Linked DNA regions of Xenopus tropicalis. The protein of the gene in region 1 interacts with the protein of each later gene in a pairwise test. Links are inferred from orthologs where the notes say so. Each region holds a gene or a part of one and is shown in the gene's direction. Other genes may lie near its edges.

Evidence for each region.
Region 2: the proteins of sgta (region 1) and sppl2a interact in binary tests that used the Homo sapiens proteins (3 or more experiments, as listed by UniProt). The two-hybrid records come from large-scale screens. The link is inferred for Xenopus tropicalis from reciprocal best matches to the Homo sapiens genes SGTA and SPPL2A.
Region 3: the proteins of sgta (region 1) and zymogen granule membrane protein 16-like interact in binary tests that used the Homo sapiens proteins (3 or more experiments, as listed by UniProt). The two-hybrid records come from large-scale screens. The link is inferred for Xenopus tropicalis from reciprocal best matches to the Homo sapiens genes SGTA and ZG16.

Annotation. Positions count from the first base shown.
Region 1 is NC_030677.2:99,255,741-99,266,714, forward strand, and holds the start of sgta (small glutamine-rich tetratricopeptide repeat-containing protein alpha), read left to right. Parts: upstream 1-4,382; 5' UTR 4,383-4,426; coding exon 4,427-4,526; intron 4,527-5,520; coding exon 5,521-5,624; intron 5,625-6,317; coding exon 6,318-6,396; intron 6,397-7,561; coding exon 7,562-7,661; intron 7,662-8,296; coding exon 8,297-8,401; intron 8,402-8,479; coding exon 8,480-8,618; intron 8,619-8,696; coding exon 8,697-8,759; intron 8,760-9,993; coding exon 9,994-10,031; intron 10,032-10,974. UniProt on the Homo sapiens protein: Co-chaperone that binds misfolded and hydrophobic patches-containing client proteins in the cytosol. Mediates their targeting to the endoplasmic reticulum but also regulates their sorting to the proteasome when targeting fails.
Region 2 is NC_030679.2:104,717,871-104,728,844, forward strand, and holds the start of sppl2a (signal peptide peptidase-like 2A precursor), read left to right. Parts: upstream 1-4,770; 5' UTR 4,771-4,904; intron 4,905-5,153; 5' UTR 5,154-5,333; coding exon 5,334-5,390; intron 5,391-8,441; coding exon 8,442-8,561; intron 8,562-10,974. UniProt on the Homo sapiens protein: Intramembrane-cleaving aspartic protease (I-CLiP) that cleaves type II membrane signal peptides in the hydrophobic plane of the membrane. Functions in FASLG, ITM2B and TNF processing.
Region 3 is NC_030685.2:5,089,597-5,100,503, forward strand, and holds zymogen granule membrane protein 16-like, read left to right. Parts: upstream 1-4,600; 5' UTR 4,601-4,631; intron 4,632-4,860; 5' UTR 4,861-4,861; coding exon 4,862-4,904; intron 4,905-5,347; coding exon 5,348-5,480; intron 5,481-6,570; coding exon 6,571-6,892; 3' UTR 6,893-7,120; downstream 7,121-10,907. UniProt on the Homo sapiens protein: May play a role in protein trafficking. May act as a linker molecule between the submembranous matrix on the luminal side of zymogen granule membrane (ZGM) and aggregated secretory proteins during granule formation in the TGN.

The DNA of each region.
Region 1 (10,974 bases):
GATAAAGCTTACTTAGTTTTTACCTTTCCTTCTCCTTTAAAATTCAACAGACATTTAAATGAAGACTGAAGCAAATATAGTACAAACTTATTTATGCAACTAGATGTTTTAACACAGTAACAAGGAATTTTGTAGTTTCCGTGTTATAACCTCTTCACAAAAAATTGGAACTGGTTATTAGTCTGAGCCACGTGGTGTGTGCCAACAGTTTCACTCAGGGCTTTGTCTACTGTAACCCCTGTCCCCAAGGTTTTAAGTAATTCTTCAATCTGTTGTGCTCCCGGAGTACCAAACCAAAAGCTATTCATTTGTATTGATCTCGGCTATAACCATTAATCTTTTCTATCCCTCAGAGAATAGGACTCTTCGCAGTGATGACTGTGATTTTAACCCTCAGGTTAACAGTATTAGTTTAACAATATGGCACAATTAATATACTAATTACAATTAATAGAATAATATACAATCAAAGGCAACATTTACTCATTAGTAACTGAAAATAGTGGCACAGATCCTGATCTCTGCTTGCAAAAGCTGGCTGTATGGCAACTTGGCGAGGCGACCGATATCGGAGAAGGCTGCGGATATCAGTCGACTTGATCGGGCGGGTTAAAAGATTTTGATCGGGCGCCATAGAAGGCGCCTGAGCAAAATCTGCCTTCAGGGCTGAATTGACAGAAGGAGGTAGAAATCCTATTGTTTCTACCTCCATATCTGACGATTCAGCCCTGAATGTCAGTGGAGGGTTGGAACCGATGGTCAATGGTCGCACGAAAGATCGAAAATCGCCACGTGTGTGGCCAGCTTAAAGGAGAAGGAAAGGCTAAGTCACTTGGGGGTGCCAAAATGTTAGGCACCCCCCCAAGTGACTTAGAGCGCCTACCTTGTACCCCGGGCTGGTGCCCCTGTACGGAGGGAACAGCACCAGCCCGGGGCACCTGTAGACACCGCTTCCTCCTTCCTTTGCGCACTGCCGGCGAAATCCGCCGGCCGGCGCATGCGAGGAGGAAGGAGGAAGCGCCGGCAGCTACCCCGGGCTGGTGCTGTTCCCTCCGTACAGGGGCACCAGCCCGGGGTACAAGGTAGGCTTTCTAAGTCACTTGGGGGTGCCTAACATTTTGGCACCCCCAAGTGACTTAGCCTTTCCTTCTCCTTTAAGACTCCCAATTTGTGCCTGCTCTTTGATATCTCCTTTTAAAAGTAAACAAATATAAGCAACACACAAACACTTGAAAATCGTACAGTACAAAGCACTTGTGTGAAATAATGCTGAAGTAGGCACTGTTAATTAAAGGCACAAGGATCCAGAGTGCAAATGCTACACCTACTGCATCCTTTGTAGCCAAAACACTACAATCATTTTAAGGGGAACTATAACGAAATTAAAATTCAATATAAGCGTCAATACTGAAATAATACAGTTCCTACATATAATCAATTAAAGATTCAGAACAGTTTCTGAAATAGCCAAGTTTATCTTCATTGTCTTTCATTTTCTCTTCATGCAGGAGTTGGGTGTCAGATTTTCATTAGCAGTTAGATAAAATATATCTTTTGCAGGTTCCCCTTTTCTAGCAGATGTATAATGCTGGCCATACACGTGGCGATCTGACGATGTTTGAAACATCGTCAGATGTGCCACACACCATTCAGGGCTGAATCGGCAGGTAAGGAGGTAGAAACAATAGGATTTCTACCTCCTTCTGCCGATTCAGCGCTGAAAGGAGATTTTGATCAGGCGCCTTCTATGGCGCCCGATCAAAATTTTCCAACTGGTCCGATCGGCGAGTCGGCCGATATCAGCAGCTTCCTGCGATATCGGTCGACTCGCCGACATACCATACACGCACCGAATATCGTACGAAACGAGGTTTCGTACGATATTATCGGTGCCTGTATGGCCACCTTTAGAGCTTACTCAAATAACTGATTCTAGCACAAACAAAATTGCTAACTTTGGCACAAATCCTATCTGTGGTGGTTTTAAAAGATTGAGCTCTAATGCATCTTCTAGGCAAAGGAAACTGCCACCACTCTAGAGATATATTGGATCTGATATTTAAAATCAGGCTCCCACCTCTTGCTTGGAGAGAGGAAGAAGAGAGACAGATGCTGCGAAGCAGGAGAGCGAAAAACAACTTGATTATTTCAGAAATGGGCAGAATTTTAGAAAAAATTTAGAAAAAATCATGTTTTAGTATGCTGAAGCTTATATTGAACTTAAATATTTGTGATAATTCCACTTTAAGCTTAATAAATGTACCCTCTTTACCTGCCTATATCCTGTACCCACTGAATGTGAAATTCAACTGGTCAATTAATGTCCCAATCTGGCCATTAAGTTATTTTCCCCTCTGGCCAAAGATGTTATCCATTAAGTCCACATACGATAATCAAACACCCTGTTGGGGGCATGGGAGAGAGGAAATAAGAACATAAAAGCAGGCTAAACACAGGCTAGTTTGCCTCTATGTTTTGAATGACAACAAGGGTTCTGAAAATTAACTAGAGCTGGTCGACTGCAATGTAGCACATATTTTCGTTAGAAAGCCATTAAGTATTATAGCCTTGTAATATTATTTATTGGTATAATTACCCAGGCATGCACTGCGCCAATACTCTTATATTATTCAAAACTCATATTAATGTTACCATTAAATGTCGGTGTTCCCTGTGCATACCGATATACTTCCAGACGTTAGCTACCTGGCTCCAGGAGCATGGACAATTGTCTCTGACCCGAAACCACCATAGTACAAACAAAAACGCAGCAGTCCAGAGACTCTGAGACACATTCGCGAATCCGACTAATGACGCCACTTCCTGTATGACAGCTGACAGGTGATTCCGAATCCGGTTCCGGGCTTTCGCATGTGAGTAGTGGTGTCTGGTAAGACTGGGTCAGAGAGATTTTTGGGGGGGGTGCCTTTGTGCATGGTAAGGTTAATATAGGTGTTACTATTTTGTGGTAATATGATGGAACCGACATATAACAGACCAGGAAGTTCTGTTGAACACGCTGGTGATAGAGAATGTTGATACAGGGGAGCGGAATGGAAAGACTCAGAGATATATTTAACTAATATATTGGTGCCAATGGCGGCCCGGAGCTTTTTTCAGTTTAATTACACGAACGTGTACTAATACTGCTGGGGCTTCTGACGTGTGGGAGGTGACTTTGCCTAGGTCTGGGTGTCCTGTCTGCATCCGCTCAGCCATTACTGAACCACAGGATCCTGTATGTGCTGATAACAGCATTGTTGACGTCTGTACCATCCATTTGACACAGTACCATCCATTTGACACATTTCTGACCGCTACTGCCTTTAGGGCTCTGGCACACGAGGAGATTTGCGTTTTTTCCCCCTGGTGCTTTGGCGACAAGTCGCCACGACAATACCCACAAAGAGATTTCATGCGAGTTGAGCTCCAGGCGATCTGCTACCCATGGTACACTCAACAGTCAACCCCCCCTCATGTTTACTCAAGTCGCTCAGAAAAGGGTCTGTGTGCGATTTTAAACAGCAGGCGATTTGAAGCTGACGCTGGCGATTTCCATTGATTTATATCTTGTCGCTCGTCTTGTCGCCAAATCGCTCTTTTAAAAATCGCTGGCAACAAATCTCCTCATGTGCCACAGCCCTTAAACTGGGCTTTCCCTAAAATTCTTCAGCTGATTAATCATCCATGCAATGGAAAGGTCATTGGGGCTCATTTATCAACACTGGGCTCATTTATCAACACTGGGCAAAATTGCACCTTGGCAGTAACCCTTGCCAACGAATCAGTGATTAGCTGTTTTCAGCTGGCTGAAGGTTGGGAAAGAAAAAATCTGATTGGTTTCCGTGGAGTTACGCCCAGGGGCAAATATGCCCTGTCTTGTAAGGGACCTGTGGTGTTTCTGAAAGTGCTATGCCGTAGTGATAAAAATACTAGGTATTTTAGCAGATGCTGCAGCTCTTATGTTGAAGTCTACCTTTGGAAGATAATACAGTGTGTGTATGTCATACAAACCCTGTTAACTGGGTGGAAATATTGAAAATGTGTATAAGTGTGGCCCTAGATATATGGGTTGTGGGTGACCATATGTACATAAACACTGTTTTCTTTTTCCTTTGAGACCTGTGGCATATCCAGTGGCCGCTCTAAACAACAGTATTTGTTGAACAAGGGGAGCTAAAAATGACGAACATTATTGGATATGCCTGCAGAGAATGGTGCATTGTTAATCATTTGTATAAATGTACTTGTGAATATTTGCTTAATGATAAAATGGCAAAGACTGGTGATTCTGAATGGTACCTGGAAAAATATATCTATTTTTTTTTTTATCAGATATGAATTCATATTCACTGACATTGTTTATGTTTTAATGCCAGTTTATTTGCAGAGTCGGACCTTGTCACTTGAAGTGTTCACAAATCCAATGGCTGACAAAAAACGCTTAGCTTTCTCCATTATTCGGCATTTACATGACCAGTTACGCAATGGTGGGCTTTCCTCAGATGCACAGGAGAGCCTGGAAGGTCTGGTTGTTACTTCATATTCTATCTTTCTGTTTATTTGATGGGGGAACTATTCTTATGAGACAAAATAGTTTTTTCTTTTCCTTGCTTTTTCATAAAACTTATGATATTCAGCCTGCACCCACCTGGGGCTACTGAACTACTGCCAGATACTTGAAGTGCAAGTTTAACAGGCAGTAGTCCAGAGGATGGAGAGCAGTACTTTTAAATGCATTCTAATATCTAAATGCTTCTTACCATGCATACGGGCAGTAATCCCCAACCAGTGGCTCGCAAGCAACATGTTGCTTACCACCCCTTTTGATGTTGCTTCCACCGGCCTCAAAATAGGTGCCCATTTTAAAATTTCTGGCTTGGAGGCAGGTTTGAAAGCCAGACACAGATTTACTCCAAGCAGAGCCTCCTGCAGGCTAGCAGTCCATTTGGGGCTACCAAATAGCCCATCAGGATGTTGAGAGTAAGTTAAGATTTTTTATGTAGTGTATAACGTGTTATGAATGTTTTGTTTTTTTAAATTATTAATGTAACAATTTTCAGCCTGCAACTGAAAATGCTCTCTGGTTGTTGGAGATCATTGACCTGGGCGAGTAAAATTGAATGAATGTGAGAGTTCAGATTTATTGTTAGTTTGATTATCTTTTTTTCTGTTCATCTTCTTTTAATCATCCATTGTGACTTCCAAACTGCTGTCTGGTTGTTGTATTAGCTTGCACCTCTGGTGGGGAAGTGTTTCTGTTGATCAGTCTCAATTACACCCTGATTCATTCATTTAATAACTGTAAAAAATGAAAATGTACAAGTTTGTAAATTAATATTGTGAATGTTAGTCCACAAATGTTTTCAATGCAAGCCTGCATTGAATGAATTAAGTGTTCCATCCCAGGGAAGTCTTCTGGTCTTTCTCTGATGCTTGAATGCAGGAACTATTGGATTACTTTAAATATATTTGTGTATAATTACTAGATGGAAGCATTATGTAATTTGAATTTTACAGTTGCTATTCAGTGCCTGGAGACAGCCTTTGAGGTTTCCATTGAAGACAGTAACTTAGCTGTACCAAGGAGTCTCCAAGAGATATTTACAGAAGCCACATGTCAGGTAATCCTTGTAATTAGTTATTGACTGACATGAAATGGCATTGTTTTGGAAAAAAATGAATTGCGAAATTCTAAACTTTTTAAAGTCTACATACCATATTTCATCTTTCTTACAAACTTGATAACATAAAGGAGTAGGAAAGTTACAGTTACTGGGGCCAAAGTCTTAGGCATCCCCAATCATTGTAATTGCTTGCCTAAAACCCCCAACCAGTGCTCCTCTTAGGAGAAAACTGCATGGCTGGTGTGTATGTGAGCTAGTGATCCTTCTTCACATGCTCAGTAGAGAGAAAAGCCAGCTTTTCCGCTCAACTGCGCATGTGTCTGTCCTGGGATTATAAAGAAAGAAGACAGGAGGAAGAGGAAAGCTAGCTTGCATATACCCTGGGCCAGTGCAATTTCATCCTAACAGGAGCACCGGGCACAGGTATCAGGTAAGAGATTACAATCACTGGTGGGGGGGGGCTAACATTTGGCACCCCTCCGTGATTTAGCCTTTCCTTCTCCTTTAATCACAGCTTTTACTATAAGACTTTGTAGCTCTACATTCTAAGCTTTCTTACCGTTTTGTAAACTGAAACTTAAAACTAGCAAAGAAGAAAGATTGGTTTGCTGTCTAGACCATAGTTTTGGGAAAATGGTAACTTAATGCGCTGTTAATTAAAGCATTCTTCTTCTCTCCTCCCAAATTCAGGACTCTCCGCAAGTTAATTCTGGCCTGGCCTCCCCTTGTGATGAGGATGTAGCAGAAGCTGAAAGATTGAAGACAGAAGGTTGGACACTTGACATGTTGCATGATCTCTTAAAGGACAAGGCAACGCAAAATATAATTTTTGCCTAATAAAAGAAAACAAGATTCTAAGCAGCTTTGCAATATACATTTATTACAAATTTGTAATGATTTTTGAGTAATTTGTATTTATAATTGCTATTAAAAAGCAGTGTTTGCCTGTCCTTTTCTATTCTCTACCCTGGTGACTCTGACTGTTGAAACAATGTAACACAAGGCAGCAGATTGACAGACTTGACTTGCTGGAGGAGACAGTTGCAACACTGATTAGAAAGTAACAACCAGGAGTTCAGCAAATGCTGCTTTCAATAGCAATTACATTTACAAATAACTTTTAAAGCGCTACAAATTTTTAACTATTTTTCATATTGGAAAATTGCTTAGAATTATGTTTTCTTTTCTTATGCAAAAAGTTATTTTTGGGGTCGACATGCCCTTTAAAATTGTCCCTTGTATTAATTGTTCATGACTGTGAGGTTATGCAGAATATTCAATTGCATTAATTGAGAAGCCATGGTATATTGGTAAAAAAAAAATGGCATTAAGGAGTACATTTTGGGACAAGAAAATACTTGTGGTAGCATAGTTAGACAGTATGGCAGTATAAGGATATTTGATTTAAAGGCGTTTATATAATCTCCACTTCTCTAAATTCACATCTTAACTTTTTTCCTATATTTTTCTTTATATCACCCTCATTTCACCTTTCACCCTTAATCCAGATTTCTTTGCCATTTGCCACTGATTTTGTCCATTTAATATAATTCCCTTACATATTTGTCCTTGTATGTATTTGTGCCCTTCCACTTCAAACTCCCTACTTCTACACTTTGTTTTCTCCTTTTGCTCCACCTTGACCTCCAGCTGCTTTTTAAAGGAATACTGTCATGGGAAAACATGTTCTTTTTCAAAACTCATCAGTTAATAGAGCTTCTCGAGCAGAATCCTGTATTGAAATCTGTTTTTCAAAAACTTTGAAGCTGAGTTTGCAGACTCAAGGCAATTTTGATATCAATTAATAGAAAGAGAAAGAATTACTGTCATGTTATTACTTTTCTTAAACCTGTATCTGTGTTTTAATTATTGTGGCCAGAGGTAGTTTTTGGTGTATGTACCATTAGATGAGCAGAGAATCTTGTTTTTCTTAGGCAATGAGCAAATGAAATTAGAAAATTTTGAAAGTGCTATTTCCTACTACTCAAAAGCTCTTGAACTGAACCCAACAAATGCTGTGTACTACTGCAACAGGTATGTATCTACATACAAGAAATATGTGTGTGTGTATATATCTCTGCTCTTCCCACGAAGAATTAAATAGCAGGCAAGCTTAACCTTTCCCGTGCCTGCCTGTCTGCTTCTAAGGGCACTCCCTCCCCCACCATTACACATAGACAACGGAGCTGAGTTTGTCACACACCGCTGAAAGCAGAAGGGGCATTGCAGGTTTGTGACTGGGCATATTTATTCACTTGGGAGGCATTTCAATTAAAACCCGGAAGAGGGGAACAAACATGGCTGCTCCATGGGTCTCATGCTACCATAATTATGAAGCGAAAAAACTTTGCAGATTTAGGTTCTAAGGAATTTAAAGCTGATACAAATTAAAACACAACAGCAGGTGTAAAAAAAATGTTCAAGTGGCTGTCCATAACACTTTAATATTTAATTTAGAAATTTCATACATATATATATATATATATATATTAAAATGTACTGTTCTGTTCAGTAATTTGTGCCTGTTTTTGTCTTTAGTAACATTAGTAACATATTTTTGCACACAACTTTTACATAAAAGCTTCTGGTTTCATTTGTCATGTCATGTATCTGCAACAGTTGCAAAACAAGGCATTATTAATCACTATATTGCGTGTCTTTTTACACAGGGCTGCAGCTTACAGCAAACTGGGCAACTATGCTGGAGCTGTGAGGGACTGTGAAGAGGCAATTACAATTGACCCTAACTACAGCAAAGCTTATGGCAGAATGGGGTATGTTCCTGTTTAAGTTACTTTACCTTACAATTATGGAAGAAATGTTTTTAAACCATTCTTTTTTAATATTTTTAGACTGGCACTTTCAAGCTTGAATAAACATGCAGAAGCTGTAGGTTTTTACAAACAAGCCCTGATACTGGATCCAGACAATGAAACCTACAAATCAAACCTAAAGATTGCAGAACAGAAAATGAAAGAGCTGCCCAGCCCAGTGAGTATTCTTTGTTTATCCTGTGGTGGGGAGATCTGTTTTTATAAGTAATCTAACAGGATCTTTAATTTCATCTAGATGGCTGCTCCTGGAGGTTTTGATTTGGCTGGCTTGCTCAATAACCCAGGCTTTATGAGCATGGTAAGTATCCTCTTTAGTGTTTTTATCAAGATTGTATTTTCTTCTCTTAATTTGAGAATAGGGGCATAATATGGAGCTAAAATTGTCATTATATAGATGTTTTATATATTTATTATTAATTTAATTAATTTTTGTACAAAAAAATGCTTGAGATGCTTGAATATATTGGTTCACCGTCATTTTACTTTAATTGACTAGTAGTCTTATTGTGCAAAAACCAGCACCATCTAAATTGAGCAATACACAAAGATGGTGTACTAACATTTATAGAATACTTATTGTTCTAAATCAGTGCTGTCCAACTTCTGTTGTACCGAGGGCCGGAATTTTTCCGGCCTACGTGGTGGAGGGCCGATAATGGAAGCCAGTTTTGACCACTCCCCTTTTTGAAACCGCACCCACTTGAAACCACACCCATGTTATCACATGACCATACCCATATTAATGGTTGTAGTACAGCAAAAACCTGCCATACTCTGCCTGCCCTACCCTGCCTGCGTGCCATACTTTCACTGTGTGTGCCATTCTTGGCTGGTTTGTGCCAAACTTGGCCTGTGTGTGCCATACTCTGCCTGCCCTACTCTGCCTGTGTGTGCCATACTCTGCTTGCCTTATGCTGCCTGTGTGTATGGCACACACAGGCAGCCTACAGTGACACAATGCTGGCACTGCTCCTACAGTCTGCACAATAACTATATATTAAAATTTTTTATTTGCAGTACCAGCTCAGTATATGTTCTTTTTGTAGTGTGCAGGGATTATTTGTGGGTTTCTACTGCTCCTGAGGTGTGAACAGGGGAACAATGGGGGTGATTACAGCCTGAGCCTGAGGTGTCAACACTGCAGGGGGAACAATGCAGAGATTAAAAGGTGTGAACAACTCAGGGGATTACATGTTTAAACAATACAGGGGGATTACAGCCTGAATCTGAGGTGAGAACCATGCAGGGGGCCAGCTAATCTCAGTACTGATACCATTTAAAGTTTACACAAGAGTAAGCCATCAAAGCAGCCAGACAGGTGGGGGGCCACACAGAGGGGGGTCACGGGCCGCATGCGGCCCGCGGGCCGCCAGTTGGACAGCACTGTTCTAAATCATCAAGTCCAGTGTCACCAAGAACAATTGTGTACAGTGCAGATTTTCTTTTCTCTCTCCATCTGTCTGCTATAAGTCTAAAAGCCTTTGTGCATGTAGAACTTACAGCATTTTCACTATTATGTCTTTTCACTGTAGGCGTCAAATCTTATGAATAACCCCCAAGTTCAGCAACTGTAAGTTGTATTACATTAAGTCTTTACATTTTTCAGATTTAAATTGTACAGCTATAGGAAGTGTAGACAGTGAGATTCAGTACACAGCTTTTTTCTAACCACACATTTAGTAAATAGGCTCTTTATAATAGACTTGGGGCATTATTATTTTAAACAAAAACTTTATCCCCAAACAATGTAGGTCTCTATAAAAATATAATGCATAAACAAGCTCATGTGTAAAACCCTGCTTCATCTAAATAAACCATTTTCATGAAAATATACTTTTTTAGTACTATAGGCTATTGGGTACTGCTAAATAGAAAATTGTCATTTTAAAAATTAAGGGCCACCTCCTGGAATCATAGGATTCACAGTGCACACAAACAAACCAAGGCACACATACATGGTAGGCCCCATCAGCCACACTTCTTCCTGTTACAGTTAGAGCTGCATTAGTTCTGGTCATGTGATCTCTGAGGGGGCACACGGACCATCACTAAATAGTGGATCAAGGGAAAGGATGTAAAAGGGTAATATTTACTGATATATATATTCCAGTATGGCGAGTTCTTTAATAGATAACATAATGTAAACTTGTGCTGGTTTATAGTTAGTTAAGTATTAATTCTGGGGGTATAGTTTTCCTTTAAGGTTTGCCTGAAATCTGTTTTGCCAGTGAACATGACAGCCAATATGTGTGGGGTACAACTGAAGATTTGGGTTTAGGATGAGGCTACTCGGATTTTCTACTACACCAACTGAATTGAACTGATACCATTTCAGCCATGTATTAGCATATTAAAGGAGAAGGAAAGTCTAAATCACTGGGGGGTTCCAAACGTTAGGTACTCCCATTGATTGTAATAACTTACCTAAAAAGGGAGAAGAAAGAAAGAGGATCACTTGCCTGCAGTAACCTCTGGGCAGTTCAGTTTTCTCCCAACAGGAGCACTGGCCAGGA
Region 2 (10,974 bases), on another chromosome or scaffold:
GATAGGAGGAAGAGTATTGCTCGCTTGCAGGTACCTCAGGCTGGTACAGGAATACCAGCCCAGGGTGCCAGGTAAGCTATTACAATCACTGGTGCACCCCCTAGTAATTTCACCTTTCCATCTTGTTTAAGTGAACTAATAACCAGCATTCAGATTATACTGTGGTACATGCACAGTCTTTTGTTTCTATTTTCTATGTTCTTTTTTATGGAGCTAGAAGCTTTAAACATTCTGCAAAACAATCGAATTACAACGGCGGACATAGGCTCTGTTGGACCGAGGACTGCATCAACAAGCCAATGCAGTTCCCATTCTGAGGGAAAATCGAACCTGCACGATCGAGATCTGGCCAATTTTAGCCCAGATATTGGTCGGGTAGGGCCATCGGGGGTGCCCATACATGGGCATATAAGCTGCTAATTCGGTCTGAAGGACCTGAATCGGCAGCTGAAATTTGGCAGTATATACATTCTGGCCCCAAATCTTTATTACCATCTGCAGCCCATCTGACTCCTGAAGGGTACTTGTAGATCACCTGTGTTCGGGACTTTTTTTTGCCTGTTCTGTAGGTACCCAAACTGGTAGAGGGTCTGTTTCCGGAATCATATTGTCCTATTTTTATTTTCTTGAAAATTAATCAGTCCACCAGGGGGTGCTGCTGTACCTTATTTTAAATATGCATTATGTGTATATATTTTCCTTAAAGGTGAAAGATATTCAAGATATGTCATAAAAAACATGTTCAAAAAGGAAGAACAAAAATTAAGTGGGGATGAATTGTTTCCCTAAACTCTTTATTTGGAGGTTCCTTTCTATTGTTTCCATTTATATGACATGTTTTGTTCCTTGAAGCACTTTCCAAGTGCTCTTCCAGATTTTTGTGAAGAACTTAAGGGGGCCATACATGGGCCGATTCTAGCTGCCGATATCGGTCCCTTAGACCGACTCGGCAGCTTATCGGCCCATGTATGCGCACAAACGACAGGCTTGCAGGTTTAAAATTTTAGCCGGATCGGGGACAGTATCGGCTCATTGATGCAGTCCCCAAACAGACTGCGCCTATATCTGTCGTTCTAATGTGATTGTTTGGCCCCAGGGCCAAATTTCTGAATTAGCCCGATATCACCCACCCGTAGGTGGGGATATCGGGAGAAGATCCGCTCGCTTGGTGAGGTCGTGAAATTTTAGTGTGTATGGCCTTTACACTCTATCAGGAAGAGGAGACAGACAGAAGCAAAAAGGGACCACCCTTTTGTATTGGTCAAGGGTTTGTTACTGTTGCAGAAGACTAGCTAAGTGCTTCCTTTAGAATGTGATTTTTGAGGAGCTTTAAAGGAGAAGGAAAGGCTAAGTCACTTGGGGGTGCCAAAATGTTAGGCACCCCCAAGTGACTTTAATCACTTACCTTACCAGGGTACCCCTGGGCTGGTGCCCCTGTTAGGAGAGAACAGCACCAGCCCGGGGTACCTGTAGCGAGCGCTTCCGCCTTCCGGCTTCGTTTTGCAAGGACTACAGGCGCATACGCAGTAGAGTGAAAAGCCGACTTCTCTGTTAAAGTTCGGTTTTTTCACTCTACTGTGCATGTGCGCGCGAGCGAAGCAGGAAGGAGGAAGCGCTGCAGCTACCCTGGGCTGGTGCTGTTCTCTCCGAACAGGGGCACCAGCCTGGGGTAAAAGGTAGGTGATTTAAGTCACTTGGGGGTGCCTAACATTTTGGCACACCCAATTGACTTTGCCTTGCCTTCTCCTTTAAGAGAGTGTTATGGTGGCCATACACGCACTGATAATATCGTACGAAACCTCGTTTCGTACGATATTCGGTGCGTGTATGGTATGTCGGCGAGTCGAACGATATCGCAGGAGGTCTAAAGTGACAGGGGAGGTGAAAACAAGGCAGGTCTGTGCATCATCTGCCTATATAAATATATTTCAGATCTGGAACCCTGCCACCATTTGAGAGTCCCTACAGCTTATGCAAGGGTTTTATATATCACAATAGTCTGTCGCCACTGAAGGTCCCCCAGCAAAATCTATATTTAGGGCTGAATTGGCAGGTTGAGGTATAATTTCTATTGTTCCTACCTCCATATCTGACAATTCAGCCCTGAACGTCAGTGGAGGAAGTGGCCACCTTTAGGCTCAGAAATCTCCTCTGTGTGTGTATGCAGTTCAGTGAGGCAGACCTTTCCTACCTTAATACAGTGAGGGTCCTCCTGAGAGAAAGAATCTCATGAAATACATCCTTAACCAGGAGATGTTACCAAGTTTGAGGTGATCTATCTGAAGGTAATACAGAGAGGGGGTACCATATGACTAAAATAGTGTCACACACAAAAGCTGGTTAGGCGCACTTGTAGACAGCATGTGACAGGATGTTTGTCTTGCAGGACATTTAACTGCATACCAATCATGCTGTGTGCTGTATTAAAGGCAAGTGTGACTAACCAGTTTGTGTGAAAAGCATAACATGTAAAACCAGACTGTCTGGTTCAACCCTATTTAGAGCCCCATATCTTCTCATAAACATGGATTTAGACAAATTGCAATTTGGGCTGGTTTATAAAGAGCTTGGTTTTATAAAGTAAATTAATAGTAGCCCATATGAAATGTCCCTAAATAAAGAAAGAACAAAACTTTCAAATTAGCTTGCAGTTAGTTCTTCTTCTGCCTAAACTCGGGTGTGAATCAAACTGCTTTATAACTCACATAAGGTTCTTCAGACTATGCATTGTTCATTCTAGTTGCAGCACACTCACAAACCACATTAATAAACACAAATTCCAGCACATTGCTGTGCATGCAAAGTGCCTTTGCAGAGACCAGGAAGTGATTTTGTTTTGTACAATCAGTGCGCATATAATTTCTCCTGTCAGGCATCACTTGTTGCTACCCAGATGTTGCCAGTAAGTGGTAGAATGCACCTCTTTTCATAGCTCATTGTCTGCCTGTGGCAACGCATTACAAGGTGAAGACTTAAAGGGGAAGAAAAGGCAATATCTTGAATCGCTTACCTCGTACCCCGGGCTGGTGCCCCTGTTAGGAGAAAACAGCACCAGCCCGGGGCACCTGGGGCGATGCGCTTCCTTCTTCCGCCTTCGTTTTGCTGTGACTCCGGCGCATGCGCAGTAGAGTGAAAGTGAAGTTTCCTCTCAGTCACTTTCCTACGTCCAGTGTCTGACAACTATTTCATCCTCCGTTTTGTTATTTTTATGGCTTTATCCTACAATTTCAGTCTGAACGTTAGTTTTAGATCACTGCATTTAAACGTATGATCGAACGTTACTTGGAAGGAGACTAAAATCTGAAAGTGTATCGCCACCTTAAAGGAGATGCCAACCCTAATTTTAATTTCAGTTTTACTGGATAGGGAGCCTTACCCCCACTTCAACCGCATAAGTGCCGCTCCCTTAATGTCCTCCTACAGCCTGCACCGCCGCATTCTTTTCCGATTCCCGTGTCACCCAGCGGCCATATTACCGGGTGACGTCACCGAGCGTGTGTATATGTTCCATGCGCGTATAGGTTCCATGCGTGCATGGCCCCTCCTGCCTGACCTCTTGAAGGATTTAAAAAAAAGAAAAAAAAAATTTTATTAACAAAATGCTGTTTAGAGGACACAATCATCTTAAATGCGCATGCTCATTAAAATGTACTGGAAGTGTGCATGTGCACCAGGCCAGGCAGACAAGGAGATTCTGAAGGGAGGGGGGAGAGGGAGTTACAGAGCTGTGCAGAGGGAGAAATATCAAGGGATCGCTGCAGCTTCACTGTTTGCTTTTGAGGGACTGGAGTGGCAGGTATTTAGAGAATGCTGTGAGGCTTTTCACTGATAACATTTTTGGTTGGGGGGTTGACATGTCCTTTAAGGGCTCTGGCACATGGGGAGATTAGTCGCCCGCGAACAGGGAGTTTTCTCGCGGGCGACTAATTTCCCCGTGTGCCAGAGCCCTTACACTTAATTACCCCCAAAACTTCTATAGTAGTAATTAAGGCTTACATCCTAGTTGATTTTTTTTTTAATCCTTGAATTTTACTTGTAAAATGCCTCTAAGGCAGCTTTTTATCAGCATCTGCAGTTTAAATACATGTTTCTATTTCTTCTTACAGCTTTGGGGGTAAGGTTATGTGAGCATAAATTTATACTGCAGACACTGATAAAAGGCTAGGAGATTTATATCATCAGTGCGAAGCAATAGCAGTTTTGAGGGTAATTAAGTATTAACATCATTTGATGTTACTGGTCCTTTAACATCCTGTAGAGCAGTGAGGGAGGGGCGGGCTGCATCACACCAGTGAGGGAGGGGCGGGCTGCGTTGCACCAGTGAGGGAGGGGCGGGCTGCGTTGCACCAGTGAGGGAGAGAGGGGAGGGGCAGAGACCGAGAGAATTGTCTGTAGAATGCGGCGACATTGACACAGAGAAACTAATAAGGCGGCCCCGGAAGTGCTAGTTCGGGTGGGCTGTGTGACCCCAGAGCTAAAGGGACAGGCAAGTGCAGCGCTGTATCGAATTGGATTTTAAGACGCAACTGAGCGGCCCATATTAACATTAATAGAGCAACCCATCGGGCATTCGCCAGTCTGGGCCTGCTCAGCACTATACCCCACCTGTGCCTGAAAACGAAAGAAACCGCAGCAATCCTAAGGCTCACAGGTAAGTACCATATTCAGTTCTTTGGTAGGGAGGGAGTACGTGGTGTTGGGCTAGCCGTGACCGACCCCATGGGGAGGCGAGTGAACCGTTTCCCATACAGTTCCCTAGTTTACGTTTACCAGGAGAAAAAAAATGAAATCTGGGAAAACGTAAAACAAGGGATATATAAAATCAAGGTCTGACTGTAATTTAGAAGGGGAGGCAGGAAAGGCCACCACTGGTTTTATCAGGAAGGCAGAAGCTGTGACATAGTGTAACATTAATGTAATGCTGCAGTATAGGGGTGACATAGAGGCTGCACAATTCTGGGGGTGGGGGAGGTAGAGCTGTTACTTGTGGCAAGTTTGTTAACTTGTGTGTTATAGAATGTCCTATTTATAGCAACTTTGCAAATATTATAACATAATATATTGTAGTTTTAACCTAATATATGTGTGGCAATATATATGAGTAGAAGACCACTGCTTGTTTATATACAGGCTGTTTTGATTTTTTTTGCCAGGGCTTCTTTTCTATTCCCAGTGCGGCCCTGCTCCGAGTCCATGGTGAAAAGTGCTGGAAAAACATTGAGAGGCCACTTGTTATTTGTAGAAGCATCCTTCCGAGATACGCACTGTGCTTCTTATTTACATGTATCCGTGACCCGGTTCCTGGTTTGAGTTGACAGCTGCGCTGTGAGAGAATGGGCTCGTCTGTGCCGCTGGGCCTCACTCTACTGCTGCTGCTGCACTGGGCACAGGTAACAGGATGGGGCAGCTGCTTGGCAGAGGGCATGGGGATCGGAAATGTAGCTCTTGGTAAACTACAATTTTTGGTGTATGTAAGAGCAATGTAATTAAAAGTGCAGTGTTTGCCTAGGTCTCATAACCCTGGGCAACTGAGCAGATGTTAGTTTTCGAACAGCTGAATAGTGATTTTATTACATTACCTTCTTGTATTGTATCTAGTACATGGACACATGTAATCTTTTTTTTTATATCATGGCTGTTTGATTGGAGCTACTTAGTAGCAGCTACTTGTCATGGCTACTAAATGGCAGAAAATGCCCTGCCATAGACAATACTGAGAAATGCTTCTGCTACAACACACATAGAGACAATTGTCAGTAAAAGATCAGCATTGTCTGTTTCTGTAGCTGTGACAAATTAGTGCTTCTAGTAGCTCCGTGTGTCTTCACCCTTAGGTTAGGACCCATGGAGTGGTTCAGTCACCCGCAATAGATCTTCCACCAGCAAGAATGTTGCCACAGGAGGAAACTTTGTGTGACTTAGGAACACGGAAGCAATGCAAAGGGATTTCTGCCAGAGACTCCTATTGTTGCCAGTGGAAAGCCATTTTGGAGCAGTTAGTCACCCACGATAGCAGAGATCTATTGCGTGCATCTGAACCACTCCGTGGGTCCTTACCCTTAGATGTACTGTGGCTTAGTGTGTTAAAAAAATTTAAATTGTTTTTTAAAGTTCAAAACATAGGAACAAATAAAATAGTAATTGTGGCTTTTGCAGAATGTTTGGACACCCTAACACTTGTCCAATGGTAAAACATTTGCAAGGTCCCTATACTTAATTGTTGACAGTTACAGACCTTAATAAGGGCTCATGAGCTTGGAGAATAGCAAGCTGAAGGTTTTTGGAATGGCTCTCTGTGGCAAATCTGTAACTAGATCTTAAACATGCAAGATGGCCCAAGAAAATCTTGTAATTAGAAAGGATCTGCAAGAAAGAGTGGGCAAAAATGTTTTCAAAAAGCTTTTACAAGCTGTGGTCTGTGCTAAAAGTTGTCTTACTAAATACTGACTAAAGGTGGCCATACACCAGCTTATTTGCCCGTGTATGCTGCCTCTGATGACAACTATGCCCGCCGTTGTAATTTGATTGTTTAGCTCACTGATCCCCAACCAGTGGTTTGGGGGCAACATGTTGCTCACCAACCCCTTGAATGTTGCTCTCAGTGCCCCCAAAGCAGGTAGTTATTTTTGAATTCCTGACTTGGTGGCAATTTTAGGTTGATTAAAAACAAGATTTATTACCAAATAAAGCTCCCTGTAAGCTGATAGTGTGCATAGAGGCTGCCTAATAGGCAATCTTAGCCCTTAATTGGCGCCTCCATGAACTGTTATGCTGCTTGTGTTGCTCTCCAAGTCTTTTTACATTTGACTGTGGTTCACAAGTAAGAAAGGTTGGGGATCCCTGGTTTACACCGATATCGCCCACCTTTAGGGAGAAACAAGTTGGAGGTGATCCCGCCAAATAAGCAGATCTTAACATGTATGATCACTTTTACTAGGGTGTCCAAACTTTTGCACATGCCACAATTACAAAGTTTAAAAAATGAACTAAATATGTAATTTGACAAAATAAATTAGAAGTTAACAAAATTTGTGAAGATACACCTGTTTTTTTGCACTGTGCCCTCTGCCCTGCAATCTTAAATGAGCCTTTGCTCCGTATGTTTATTAACAACGGCCAGTAAAAGTTAGTGGTTAAACCTGGAATTACTTATTGCTTTGCTGCAGAATTGTTTAATTTTTGACGGTTGGTTCCATGTAGCTTTATATTCATGACAAAAAGCTTTCAGCACTGTAACAGAAGATAGGTTAATAAACCTATTGGCCACAGTTTATAGACATGTGACGTTGGCACAGAACATTACATATTTTATCTTTTTTTAATCTCCCTTGAGATTTAAAATAGAACAGATAATAAAAGCTTATGGTGAATTCAGTGCTTTCAGCTGTTCAGAAAAGAGTTAATCTGTGCATACTAGTAAAAACAGACAGTTTGGTTTTCTAACTGAGAGAACAAATGACTGAAATATTAATTGTTAATGAAACATTGTAGAGCTTGTTGGACTATTTTGGTTCAAGTTGAACCTTTGGTGAGGGGTCCCCTTAGCTCATAAGACGGTTGGAATACATAAGAAAACATATTTAGCCATAGATTAAAGGAAAAGTAATACTATTTAAAAAATCTATTCTACCCTGCACCAATAACTGCCCTATCCTGCACAGCGTTTATTATTTTGAATGCTTTATTAGAAAATACCTTCTAAAACTTTTCATCCTGTCATTTCAAATACGGCGATACGGCGATCTTCCCCCTGCTCAATCCACTATGCGATGATTGACATCTCCTCCTAGCCTTCCTTCTGTACAGGCAAACAATTGACTTCCAGTTTTGGAGTCGGACTAGGAGGAGATGTTGATTGTCGTGTAGTGGATTGTGCAGGGGAAAGATCGCCGTGTTTGAAGTGACCGGATGCAGAGATTTAGAAGGTATTTTCTAACAAAAGCATTTAAAATAATAAACACTGTGCAGGATAGGGCAGTTATTGGTTCAGGGTAGAATAGATTTTTTACTTAAAAAAATTTAGTGTTGGATCGGGAACCACATTGGCTCATTGATGGTGAAGAATATCACCATTCTCTATATTTTTGCTCTTTATATGATACTACTGTTAAACCAATATGACTGCTGGATATGGGGTGATTTCTCTGCACTTCAGCCGTTGGTTAAGAGCTGAAACGGCAATGCCACCTCCCTTTGACATGGGGGCCTTGTGTTCAAAGGTTACCACCACTAGTGATGTTAGGTGGTTCCCTTTATGATCAGTGTGAGGTGGCATGGGCCGTTCTGACCCAGCTGAAATACATCAGTAAAGAAAACAGCCTGTGCCATCATAGGTATGATTTTCCCTTTAAAAAAACCTCTCAAGCATAAAGCACGAGTTTACAGACGTGTTAGGCTGTTTGTTCTGTGGCAGGTCTGACAAATTTGTTTGTTTTCTTTAGGTACATGCAAACCAAGGAATTCTACATGCAATTGGAAATCAGGATCCTTCCTCTGCGAAGGATTATTGTATAACGTACAATTCTACATGGACACCACTTCCAGCATCTTATTCCAATGCAGTGAGTTAGAAGTGCTACCTGTGGGTGACAATGGCCACATGGGCTGTTTCTAGGAAACTTGGCTTTAAGCATTTTTTTTTTTTGTGATCACATACATGATTTTTTTTTTTGTCTGATGTAACTTTTATTACTGTATTCCAGTGAGAAGAATGTTTATTTGTAATATAGTGTATGTAGTGTTAGCAACCTGTTACTCCATTCATGTTGTGTTCTATCTCTGTTATACTTGGTATCTATTTGCAGATTCAGTTGCTATTTTTATACCTAATAGTGTAATACCAGGGTGGTGGAAGGGTTTATTGTGGCTTATTGAATGAAAAGAGCTGCTGTACACAGTAAAATCCCAATTCTTTATCTGCTTTTAAGGTCAACACTGGAAAAATATCATTTGTTGCATTAGTGCTTTTAAAAGTGAAGGCCGTCTTTTGTAAAGTCTTAATGGCAGGACCTTTCCAAAACACTTTTGCCAATATGATCATATAGTTTTTTTGCTTTATATAAATTATGCTATTAGCTTACTTAATTATCCTGTTCCAGCTACACCCCTAGAGGAGCCAGTCATCAGCTCTCTCCTCCGCTATGCACACACTGAAGTGTGTAGAGTGAAATCAAAGAGGACAATGAGGGTTTAAAGGAACAGTAACACTAAAAGGGGAAGTTTTAAACAAATTAAAATATAAAGTACTGCTCCCCTACACTGGTAAAAATTGTGTTATTGCTTTTGAAAGACTACTATAGTTTATATAAAATAAATAAACTGCTGTGTAGCCATTGGGGCAGCCATTCCAGCTGGAGAAAAGGCACACATTACATAACTGCTAAAAGATAAGCTGTATAGAATACAATGGTGTTTTAAGAGCTTATGCTATCTGCTATGTAACCTGTGCCATTTAGCCCTATTTCAGTTTAAATAGCTACTCCATGGCTATTAACCAGCTTTGTTTATATAAACTATAAACAAAGTAACTGCTATTCAGCAGCTTTAAGGGCTCTGGCACACGAGGAGATTTGTCGCCAGCGATTTTTAAAAGAGCGATTTGGCGACAAGACGAGCGACAAGACGCCAATGCTAAATCAATGGAAATCGCCAGCGTCAAAACATACGAGGCTACTTCAAATCGCCTGCTGTTTCAAATCGCACACAGACCCTTTTCTGAGCGACTTGAGTAAACATGAGGGGGGGTTAACTGTTGAGTGTACCATGGGTAGCAGATCGCCTGGAGCTCAACTCGCATGAAATCTCTTAGTGGGTATTGTCGTGGCGACTTGTCGCCAAAGCTCCAGGGGGAAAAAACGCAGGCGACAAATCGCCTCGTGTGCCAGAGCCCTTAAGAGCTTTTTTATATGCTTGGATTAGTCATATGCATACATTTTCAGCCAATCAGATGAGTGCACAGAAACTCAGTGAGGACATTTTAGGCATGTGCAATAACCCTTGACTCTTCTCTGTCAAGCACTGTCTCTCTCCCCACTGCTCTGAACCCAGAAATTGAGTTATTTGATTTTATGTGACAAATGCATTTTTTAAATATTCATTTTATGGGAAAAGATAGACATCCCCTTTTAAATATGTTTTTTTGTGCTAAGCATTGATACATTTGCTTGCCCTATTGTTCTTAATATTCAGTACAGGTATGGGACCTGTTATCCAGAATGCTCCGGACCTGGGGTTTTCCGAATAAGGGATCTTTCCATAATTTGGATCTCCATAACTTGTTGAAAATCATTTAAATATGAAGTAAACCCAATAAGATTGTTTTGCCTCCAATAAGGATTAGTTATATCTTAGTTAGCATCAAGTACAAGGTACTGTTTTATAATTACAGATAAAAAGAAAATCATTTTTAAAGGAGAAGGAAAGGCTAATAAAGAGTTAATCTCAAGCTGCAGGCATAACTTCAGTAGTCTCAATAGTGCCCTTAAGTCTCCCCATATTTCACCTGTTCAGATGATCAGAAGCCAAACAGGAAGAAAAAACGCTGAGCTGTGTAAACAAAGTTCCCATAATGCCTCGCTCCTGCACAGACACCCAGACCAAGTGAACATGCTCAGTTAGTAAGACTATGGGGCTGATTTACTAACCCACGAATTCGAATCCGAATTGGAAAAATTCAGATTGGAAAACGAACATTTTGCGACTTTTTCGTATTTTTTGCGATTTTTTTCGGCGCCTTTACGACTTTTCGGAAATTATCGCGACTTTTTTGTTACCAATACGATTTGCGCGAAAAAACGCGAGTTTTTCGTAGCCATTCCGAAAGTTGCGATTTTTTCGTAGCGTTTAAACTTGCGCAAAAAGTTGCGATTTTTTCGTAGTGTTAAAACTTGCGCAAAACGTCGCGCCTTTTAAGTTTTAACGCTACGAAAAAAGCGCAACTTTTCGTGCAAGTTTTAACGCTACGAAAAAATCGCA
Region 3 (10,907 bases), on another chromosome or scaffold:
CATACATTGCAGATAAAAACAACATTCTGCCCCTTGAACAAATAAGCTCCCAGCAATCCTCATCTCTCTCCTACCCAGGGCCCAACCTGACGGATAATGTTTCCACTGTACACTAGGTGGCAGCAGCGCATTACAGAAAATACAGCTGTACAGCCCTCATCTTATCATATTAATAACATAATGATGTTTTCATTCATTCATAGATCATATTCCGATGGTATAAACACACTGTATGTGCACAGGTTTCCTTATAATAAGTGCAACAGAAAGGAGAATGTATTCACTACTATAAAGATGAGTATTTCTTTGGGTGCTAATGTGACCCCCTTACCTGGGAAGCGAGAGAGAGGGAGTCCCAGAAGAGACAGTAGGTTTGCCCGGGGCTGGGGGTTTCAGGAGTTCCCTGGGCTACACTGAGGCCCAATGTATAAATACAAAGGAGAACATGAGTGAGTGAGTGCAAAGCCTTCACTGTGGGAGTCCTGATTCTGGGCCCAAGTGTCTCCCAGTACCGCTGTGCAACAGAACCATTGCTTTATGGGCTCCGCCACCCAAACTGTGCACAACATGATATACAGTATATTGAATATACCCATAATCCAACACTGGGACCCCCTGGTTAATCATCTGGGAGGGGGGATACAGGGATAAGGTAGGTCCCAGGTACAAATCAGCCACAGAATGACCCAATGTCCCTTCCCGGCCCTTAGCCTCGGCCAATGATCTAAGACAAACAGGCAGACAGCTTGCAGGTACAGCGCTAATCTGTGGGATCCTCCCATTACCAACCTATATTATCCCTATAGTATCCTAACAATGATAACGTTCTATGCACATAAGATAATGTTTATAGAGGGGTTAATATGTGCTCATTAGCGTGCAATTAATTACACAGGTAGGAGAGAGAGGATCCCCCCACCCCCCATGTGTACCAAACTAATAATTATTATATTGCTACCATAGGGCCATGTCCCGTAAGAATAAATACAGAACCTAGAGGGAGGGGGCAGAGGAAGGAGAATATAATTATGGGATTATCTATGGCTCATATCATTGTGGGTGTAAGGGTGCTACGTCTGATGGGTCAGGGCGCTCATTCAGGCAGTTTGTTTGCTGTGTAGCAGCCCTGGATCCACTGAGACCATGTCCTATCATGTCAAACCCCGCCCACAATCCACCAAGCCCCTCCCACAATCCACCCAAGCCCCTCCCACTCCCTGCAAGCCCCATTCATGTTTCTCTGGACACCCCAAGGTTACCCCTTCTCAGTGCTTTTCATCTTCTAATGCTAAGGGGGCCCAGCCTGAAGGCCAGTTAGGGGGGGATTTGGGGTGAGTGCTTATTTGTGCCCTGGGTACCCCTGGAACTATAGCGGGGTGACTGTTACCCCAATGTTTCTATATATCTGTAACCTTGTTATGGGCTAAGGGGGCCCAGCCTGAAGGCCAGTTAGGGGGGGATTTGGGGTGAGTGCTTATTTGTGCCCTGGGTACCCCTGGAACTATAGCGGGGTGACTGTTACCCCAATGTGTCTATATATCTGTAACCTTGTTATGGGCTAAGGGGGCCCAGCCTGAAGGCCAGTTAGGGGGGGATTTGGGGTGAGTGCTTATTTGTGCCCTGGGTACCCCTTGAACTATAGCGGGGTGACTGTTACCCCAATGTTTCTATATATCTGTAACCTTGTTATGGGCTAAGGGGGCCCAGCCTGAAGGCCAGTTAGGGGGGGATTTGGGGTGAGTGCTTATTTGTGCCCTGGGTACCCCTGGAACTATAGCGGGGTGACTGTTACCCCAATGTTTCTATATATCTGTAACCTTGTTATGGGCTAAGGGGGCCCAGCCTGAAGGCCAGTTAGGGGGGATTTGGGGTGCGTGCTTATTTGTGCCCTGGGTACCCCTGGAACTATAGCGGGGTGACTGTTACCCCAATGTTTCTATATATCTGTAACCTTGTTATGGGCTAAGGGGGCCCAGCCTGAAGGCCAGTTAGGGGGGGATTTGGGGTGAGTGCTTATTTGTGCCCTGGGTACCCCTGGAACTATAGCAGGGTGACTGTTACCCCAATGTTGCTATATATCTGTAACCTTGTTATGGGCTAAGGGGGCCCAGCCTGAAGGCCAGTTAGGGGGGATTTGGGGTGAGTGCTTATTTGTGCCCTGGGTACCCCTGGAACTATAGCAGGGTGACTGTTACCCCAATGTTTCTATATATCTGTAACCTTGTTATGGGCTAAGGGGGCCCAGCCTGAAGGCCAGTTAGGGGGGGATTTGGGGTGAGTGCTTATTTGTGCCCTGGGTACCCCTGGAACTATAGCAGGGTGACTGTTACCCCAATGTTGCTATATATCTGTAACCTTGTTATGGGCTAAGGGGGCCCAGCCTGAAGGCCAGTTAGGGGGGATTTGGGGTGAGTGCTTATTTGTGCCCTGGAACTATAGCGGGGTGACTGTTACCCCAATGTTTCTATATATCTGTAACCTTGTTATGGGCTAAGGGGGCCCAGCCTGAAGGCCAGTTAGGGGGGGATTTGGGGTGAGTGCTTATTTGTGCCCTGGGTACCCCTGGAACTATAGCTTTAGCTTTCCCCATACATGAGGTGCCACCCTCTTACTCCCCCCTCACTGTCAGGCACAGCTGGCGGCTGCGGCACTAATCTCTGGGTGGCATCTCCTGTTACACAGCTGTGTGTGTTTGTGAGTCACAGGGGATTGGCCAGTGTGTGTCCCAGGCTTGCCCCATGCTGTGTACATTTGTGGTTATTTATATTAGCTACACACCACATTGACCAGATCTGCATTATGCACAGATCTCCCCTTGCTCTTTTATCAGGGTGTCTCATGTGATTTGGGGTTCTGCAGACATGCAGAAATGAATGCATTACTGTGTGTGTGGGGTCAGCAAAGTGCAGCAAGATGGAGACAGTAGGACAAGATGGAGACAGTAGGGCAAGATGGAGACAGTAGGACAAGATGGAGACAGTAGGGCAAGATGGAGACAGTAGGGCAAGATGGAGACAGTAGGACAAGATGGAGACAGTAGGACAAGATGGAGACAGTAGGACAAGATGGAGACAGTAGGACAAGATGGAGACAGTAGGGCAAGATGGAGACAGTAGGGCAAGATGGAGACAGTAGGACAAGATGGAGACAGTAGGACAAGATGGAGACAGTAGGACAAGATGGAGACAGTAGGGCAAGATGGAGACAGTAGGACAAGATGGAGACAGTAGGACAAGATGGAGACAGTAGGACAAGATGGAGACAGTAGGGTAAGATGGAGACAGTAGGACAAGATGGAGACAGTAGGACAAGATGGAGACAGTAGGACAAGATGGAGACAGTAGGGCAAGATGGAGACAGTAGGACAAGATGGAGACAGTAGGGCAAGATGGAGACAGTAGGGCAAGATGGAGACAGTAGGACAAGATGGAGACAGTAGGACAAGATGGAGACAGTAGGGTAAGATGGAGACAGTAGGGCAAGATGGAGACAGTAGGACAAGATGGAGACAGTAGGACAAGATGGAGACAGTAGGGTAAGATGGAGACAGTAGGGCAAGATGGAGACAGTAGGACAAGATGGAGACAGTAGGACAAGATGGAGACAGTAGGGTAAGATGGAGACAGTAGGGCAAGATGGAGACAGTAGGACAAGATGGAGACAGTAGGACAAGATGGAGACAGTAGGGTAAGATGGAGACAGTAGGGCAAGATGGAGACAGTAGGGCAAGATGGAGACAGTAGGGTAAGATGGAGACAGTAGAGCAAGATGGAGACAGTAGGGCAAGATGGAGACAGTAGGGCAAGATGGAGACAGTAGGGCAAGATGGAGATTGTATATAAAATTATTGGCCAGGGAACAGTCTATTATATCAATGGAAGTTTCAACTTTTTATAACAGTTGGTGCTGTTAAGGTGTGGGATTCCACAGCTGCCTGGCGTTAATGATTCTATTCTGGTGCTTGGTCCCCAAGGGGTTAAGTTGGGTTTTGGTTTTCAGTGGGACCTGTCTTTAAACGATATGTTAACCCCTAACAAGCCCCATTCAGATCCTCATTGCAGAATGGCATTGACTTTGTTGCCCCCGCTCACAGTAGGCCCAGCCCCCAGCAAAGACACAGGCCCTTATTACCCTACACTCTCTAATGCCTCTCTGGTGATAACTCAGCAGCACTGTCTCGCTTTACGGCAGGGATATATTCTCATATAGTCCCATAGAGATGTATGGGGAATGCTGTGCCGGTGACACGAGTGACATTAGCTCTGCAAGAGGGGGAGGCGACCACTAGAGGATTCTGGTAGTTCAGCAATGTTTGTAGGCTACAAATTCACTAGTTCCATACATTGCTAATGGCAGCCCAGCACTTCAACCCACTGCTACCCCTACATGACTCCCTTGGGCTGTGCTCTTGCCAGCAGAGCTGATACTCATTTCTATATTAAGGCTAAGCAAACAGAGATAAGGCCAGGGATTGCCCCTGACCCCATTTGCTCTGCCTTATCTGCTCCTGCCCCACAGCTGTGCTCCTAGTATTTGCTCAGAAGGAGGATTCTGGGCAATAAACCAGCCCCCTGCCATATTAATAGGGGTGCGAGTCGCTCAGTCGTCCCAGAGGCCAGAACTTCTAACAGGTAACACTGAAGCGCCACCTGGGGGTCAGGGTGGGACACTGCACCGGGGGAGACAGTTTCCTTTGGGGCTGGGTCCATTGAATGTGGGTATTTGGTTCAATTCTGCTGGGGTTTGTTCTGACCCATTACCTCTGTGGGTTCCCATATGGCTTGTAATGCTCTGTGTATATACAGTAGGATAAAGCGAGGTACATGGCTGGGGGTAATGCTTCTCTTTCTCTCCCCCCAGAATGCTGCTGTGGGTCCTACTCAGTGTGTGCTGCCTGGTTGCAGGTGAGACCCCCCCCCCCCCAGATCATATAAGGGGAGCCCCAGAGATATTATAGGCTATATAGAGCAATGTATAATGCAGGGCGGGGGGACAATGCCAGTTAAAAGAAACAATCGGGAATGGAAATGTGTAATAATAATAATAATAGTAATTACTGTATGTGCTTAGACGTTTCCTTTATTGAGCAAAAAAAAAGTGGAGGAGTTCATTCTTATTGCATTAATATAATAGCTTTTATAGTCATTGGCTGCAGTACCGTGTCTCACCTGTCTGGGTCAAGGACGGTTTTCCCCATAGGTTGCAGTAGAACAGCGCCACCATCTCATACATAGAGAGGGCAGAGGGTTAATCAGTAGGGGGCGCTGTACACAGGGGTACATACCATGTAGGGGACGCTGTGCCCTTTTGTACTGTGTGTGGCGCTCATGGGTCTGTGCTCCCCCAGCTCAGCAGCGCAGCTCGTCTTACTCTGGAGAATATGGCGGCGGTGGCGGCAAGAGGTTCTCCCACTCAGGGAACCAGCTGAACGGGCCACTCACAGCTATTCGCATACGGGTGAACCGCAACTACATTGTGGGGTAAGTCATACAGATACCGTCTGCTTCTGTGCCTCACTACTTTGTCTGTGCCATGTCTATACTGCTGCCATCTTGTCTGTGCCATGTCTATACTGCCGCCATCTTGTCTGTGCCATGTCTATACTGCTGCCATCTTGTCTGTGCCATGTCTATACTGCCGCCATCTTGTCTATGCCATGTCTATACTGCTGCCATCTTGTCTGTGCCATGTCTATACTGCCGCCATCTTGTCTGTGCCATGTCTATACTGCTGCCATCTTGTCTGTGCCATGTCTATAGTGCCGCCATCTTGTCTGTGCCATGTCTATACTGCCGCCATCTTGTCTGTGCCATGTCTATACTGCCGCCATCTTGTCTGTGCCATGTCTATACTGCCGCCATCTTGTCTGTGCCATGTCTATACTGCTGCCATCTTGTCTGTGCCATGTCTATACTACCGCCATCTTGTCTGTGCCATGTTCATACTGCTGCCATCTTGTCTGTGCCATGTCTATACTGCTGCCATCTTGTCTGTGCCATGTCTATACTGCCGCCATCTTGTCTGTGCCATGTCCTTACTGCTGCCATCTTGTCTGTGCCATGTCTATACTGCCGCCATCTTGTCTGTGCCATGTCTATACTGCTGCCATCTTGTCTGTGCCATGTCTATACTACTGCCATCTTGTCTGTGCCATGTCTATACTGCTGCCATCTTGTCTGTGCCATGTCTATACTGCCGCCATCTTGTCTGTGCCATGTCTATACTGCCGCCATCTTGTCTGTGCCATGTCTATACTGCCGCCATCTTGTCTGTGCCATGTCTATACTGCCGCCATCTTGTCTGTGCCATGTCTATACTGCCGCCATCTTGTCTGTGCCATGTCTATACTGCTGCCATCTTGTCTGTGCCATGTCTATACTACTGCCATCTTGTCTGTGCCATGTTCATACTGCTGCCATCTTGTCTGTGCCATGTCTATACTGCTGCCATCTTGTCTGTGCCATGTCTATACTGCTGCCATCTTGTCTGTGCCATGTCTATACTGCCGCCATCTTGTCTATGGCATCCAATGGCGCTGAGCCCTGACCCTATGCCAATGTTGGCTTGCAGGCTACAGGCGCGCTATGGCACGGCATGGAGTGACTATAAAGGGGGCAGCCTGGGAGATTTAGAGGAAGTTTTCTTGCACCCCGGGGAGCACATAATCCAGGTCTCGGGCAAGTATTCCGTCTACATGCGCCAGCTGGTGTTTGTCACAAACAAGGGTCGCTACTTCAGGTTTGGGAAGGACTACGGAACCAGTTTCAACGCGGCGCCCCTCTTCCCCAACACCGTGCTGCGCTTCTTCAGCGGGAGCTCCGGGTCCGTCATCGACGCCATTGGCTTCCACTGGGACTACTCCTCCAGCGGCTGCACCCACTGCAACAAGTGATCCCGCCGAGCCCACCCCCTGCCTGCAGGACTGGCATTCCCTGTGTAATTCATTTATATATGATTATATATTCCCTGCGCTTCTGTCAGCGCCCCCTGCTGTACATCACACACATTGCAGAGTCTCCCCTGAGATACATTCCTGCCCCCCAGCATCCGCCTCCGATTGCCTTATCCTGCATCTCAATGTAACTCACCCAAATGCTTGCAATTAAATCTTTATCCCGAGTGTTGTGTTGCTTCTACTAAATGGGATATTTGGGAGGAAAGGTCACATTTTTATTTTAACATTTGGTTATATATGGAATAATTTCTTATATATTGGATAAAGGAAAACCCCCTAACCCTGTAGGCAATTATGAATAATATCCGGTGCTGGTTTCCCTTTGGGCTAAACATTAACCCTATCTGTAACAATGGCCCCTTTATTGGAGCTCCCTATAGATCCTCTCAGGTCCCTGTCTGGGTTTCACATGAGGGGTGGGCGTGTCCTAACGGTCCCTGCCAGAAGCACAGTAGGAGGGGGAGAGCCAATCACAGCCCTGCAGTCACACAAGCACAGACAGGCTTCAGTTCCCTATCAGGTCAGCCTAGCTGCTGATTGGTTCCTATCCTACAGTGCCGCCGGCCCCCCTGCACAGCCTGGAAAAGGAGGCAGCAGGAAGTGGAACAGATGGGCGGGGCTAGTGGGGTTTCGGGAGAAATTTTCAATAAATCAGCCTGAAACACTACTTTTTAAAGCCCATTCCTTCTATATTTAGATGAGTACAATTCATTGGCACAATATTAATTTTTAGTCAATATGTCCCCTTACAGCTGCACAATGCCCTCCCACCTGTATCAGGTGTAGCAATTTCTCCACAAGGTGGCAGTGTTGCCATGGTGACTGGAGACAAAGTCACTATCACAGAGGTAAGCCCTTTACAGACTGTGGATGGAAGTGCGTCACATGGCCACAAGGTGGCAGCACCTCCCTCTATGGGAATTTCTCTCCCACAGCAGTAGAATTTGCAGTTATGGCATGAACTCCTACCGTACCAGCTGGTTGGATGTTTAGTGTTTCTGTTGCCTTTTAGTCCTCCATCTTTTTTCCATTTTCCATCTTTTATCCAGTTGGGACAGGTCTCTCCTGCCTACAGCCGCTGCCCCTGGTCTAATAGATACAAACCCAGCGGATAATTATACCCAGACCCCGGTGACACCCAGCTGATATTGGGCTCCCCAAAGGCTGCAGTGATAGGAGCCACAGTCGTTACGAAACCCTTGTAATTAACTTGCCCTACTGTCTCCATCTTGTCCTACTGTCTCCATCTTGTCCTACTGTCTCCATCTTGTCCTACTGTCTCCATCTTGCCCTACTGTCTCCATCTTGCCCTACTGTCTCCATCTTGCCCTACTGTCTCCATCTTGCCCTACTGTCTCCATCTTGCCCTACTGTCCCCATCTTGTCCTACTGTCTCCATCTTGCCCTACTGTCTCCATCTTGCCCTACTGTCTCCATCTTGCCCTACTGTCCCCATCTTGCCCTACTGTCTCCATCTTGTCCTACTGTCTCCATCTTGCCCTACTGTCTCCATCTTGCCCTACTGTCTCCATCTTGTCCTACTGTCTCCATCTTGCCCTACTGTCTCCATCTTGCCCTACTGTCTCCATCTTGTCCTACTGTCTCCATCTTGCCCTACTGTCCCCATCTTGCCCTACTGTCTCCATCTTGTCCTACTGTCTCCATCTTGCCCTACTGCCTCCATCTTGTCCTACTGTCTCCATCTTGTCCTACTGTCTCCATCTTGCCCTACTGTCTCCATCTTGCCCTACTGTCTCCATCTTGTCCTACTGCCTCCATCTTGTCCTACTGTCTCCATCTTGTCCTACTGTCTCCATCTTGCCCTACTGTCTCCATCTTGCCCTACTGTCTCCATCTTGCCCTACTGTCTCCATCTTGCCCTACTGTCTCCATCTTGCCCTACTGTTTCCATCTTGCCCTACTGTCCCCATCTTGCCCTACTGTCTCCATCTTGTCCTACTGTCTCCATCTTGTCCTACTGTCTCCATCTTGCCCTACTGTCTCCATCTTGCCCTACTGTCTCCATGTTGTCCTACTGTCTCCATCTTGTCCTACTATCTCCATCTTGCCCTACTGTCTCCATCTTGTCCTACTGTCTCCATCTTGCCCTACTGTCTCCATCTTGCCCTACTGTCTCCATCTTGCCCTACTGTACCTGCTTTCACCCTGCCTACGTACAACTGCTGCTCTACAGGGCACCACTATGTGCTGGGCACCAGGCAGTTGCTGAACCCCCCATAGAACACTATAGATATATCCGGGGGGGCACTGCCTTGCCCATTGCCCTATTTCCCCTTATCCATCTCTGCAGACTGAATGACTTTGGGAAAAACAGGATTTATAAGTAACTCAGCTTGGCACAAACTGCCACATTGGGAAGCCCTGCTGGAAGCTGCTCTGAGATTTCTTACCTGGGAAACAGCTGGTGCCATACAGGTGGGCAGGATAATGTGCCATACAGGTGTGCCCCCCCCCCCCCCCCCCCCCAGGGCAGAGCAGATTAACATCAGCTCCATTATTTATAGGCATAACTGTATCTTGTAGAGTGAGATCTGTATATCCAACCACATCCAACCGTATCCAACCACATTCAACCACAGGATAATGGGCAGGATAATGTGAGAGAGAGACAGGGGCTTGGGGGGGACACTATATTATTTACTGGGGGTGAAACTCGAAGGCCCAGAAACTATGATCTGCCCCAATTCCATTATATCCCTTTTGCTATACCCTATTAATTACCCCTCTCCTTCTTTGTCTCTGCATCTCTTCTTTCAAACCTCTTTGTCTCTCTCTCTCTTCCTCTTCTAGATGTCTCTTTCTCCCACCAGCATTCCCCATCTCTTCCTCCCATCCATCCTCCTCCTCCTCTTCTTCATCCCAGCTCCTCATGTTCTCTGTCTCTCCCACCAGCATTTCCCATCTCTTCCTCCCATCCATCCTCCTCCTCCTCTTCTTCATCCCAGCTCCTTATGTTCTCTGTCTCTCCCACCAGCATTCCCCATCTCTTCCTCCCATCCATCCTCCTCCTCCTCTTCTTCATCCCAGCTCCTCATGTTCTCTGTCTCTCCCACCAGCATTCCCCATCTCTTCCTCCCATCCATCCTCCTCCTCCTCTTCTTCATCCCAGCTCCTCATGTTCTCTGTCTCTCCCACCAGCATTCCCCATCTCTTCCTCCCATCCATCCTCCTCCTCCTCTTCTTCATCCCAGCTCCTTATGTTCTCTGTCTCTCCCACCAGCATTCCCCATCTCTTCCTCCCATCCATCCTCCTCCTCCTCTTCTTCATCCCAGCTCCTCATGTTCTCTGTCTCTCCCACCAGCATTCCCCATCTCTTCCTCCCATCCATCCTCCTCCTCCTCTTCTTCATCTTGACTCCTCATGTTCTCTGTCTCTCCCACCAGCATTCCCCATCTCTTCCTCCCATCCATCCTCCTCCTCCTCTTCTTCATCCCAGCTCCTCATGTTCTCTGTCTCTCCCACCAGCATTCCCCATCTCTTCCTCCCATCCATCCTCCTCCTCCTCTTCTTCATCTTGACTCCTCATGTTCTCTGTCTCTCCCACCAGCATTCCCCATCTCTTCCTCCCATCCATCCTCCTCCTCCTCTTCTTCATCTTGACTCCTCATGTTCTCTGTCTCTCCCACCAGCATTCCCCATCTCTTCCTCCCATCCATCCTCCTCCTCCTCTTCTTCATCTTGACTCCTCATGTTCTCTGTCTCTCCCACCAGCATTCCCCATCTCTTCCTCCCATCCATCCTCCTCCTCCTCTTCTTCATCCTGACTCCTCGTGTTCTCTGTCTTTCCCACCAGCATTCCCCATCTCTTCCTCCCATCCATCCTCCTCCTCCTCTTCTTCATCTTGACTCCTCATGTTCTCTGTCTCTCCCACCAGCATTCCCCATCTCTTCCTCCCATCCATCCTCCTCCTCCTCTTCTTCATCCCGACT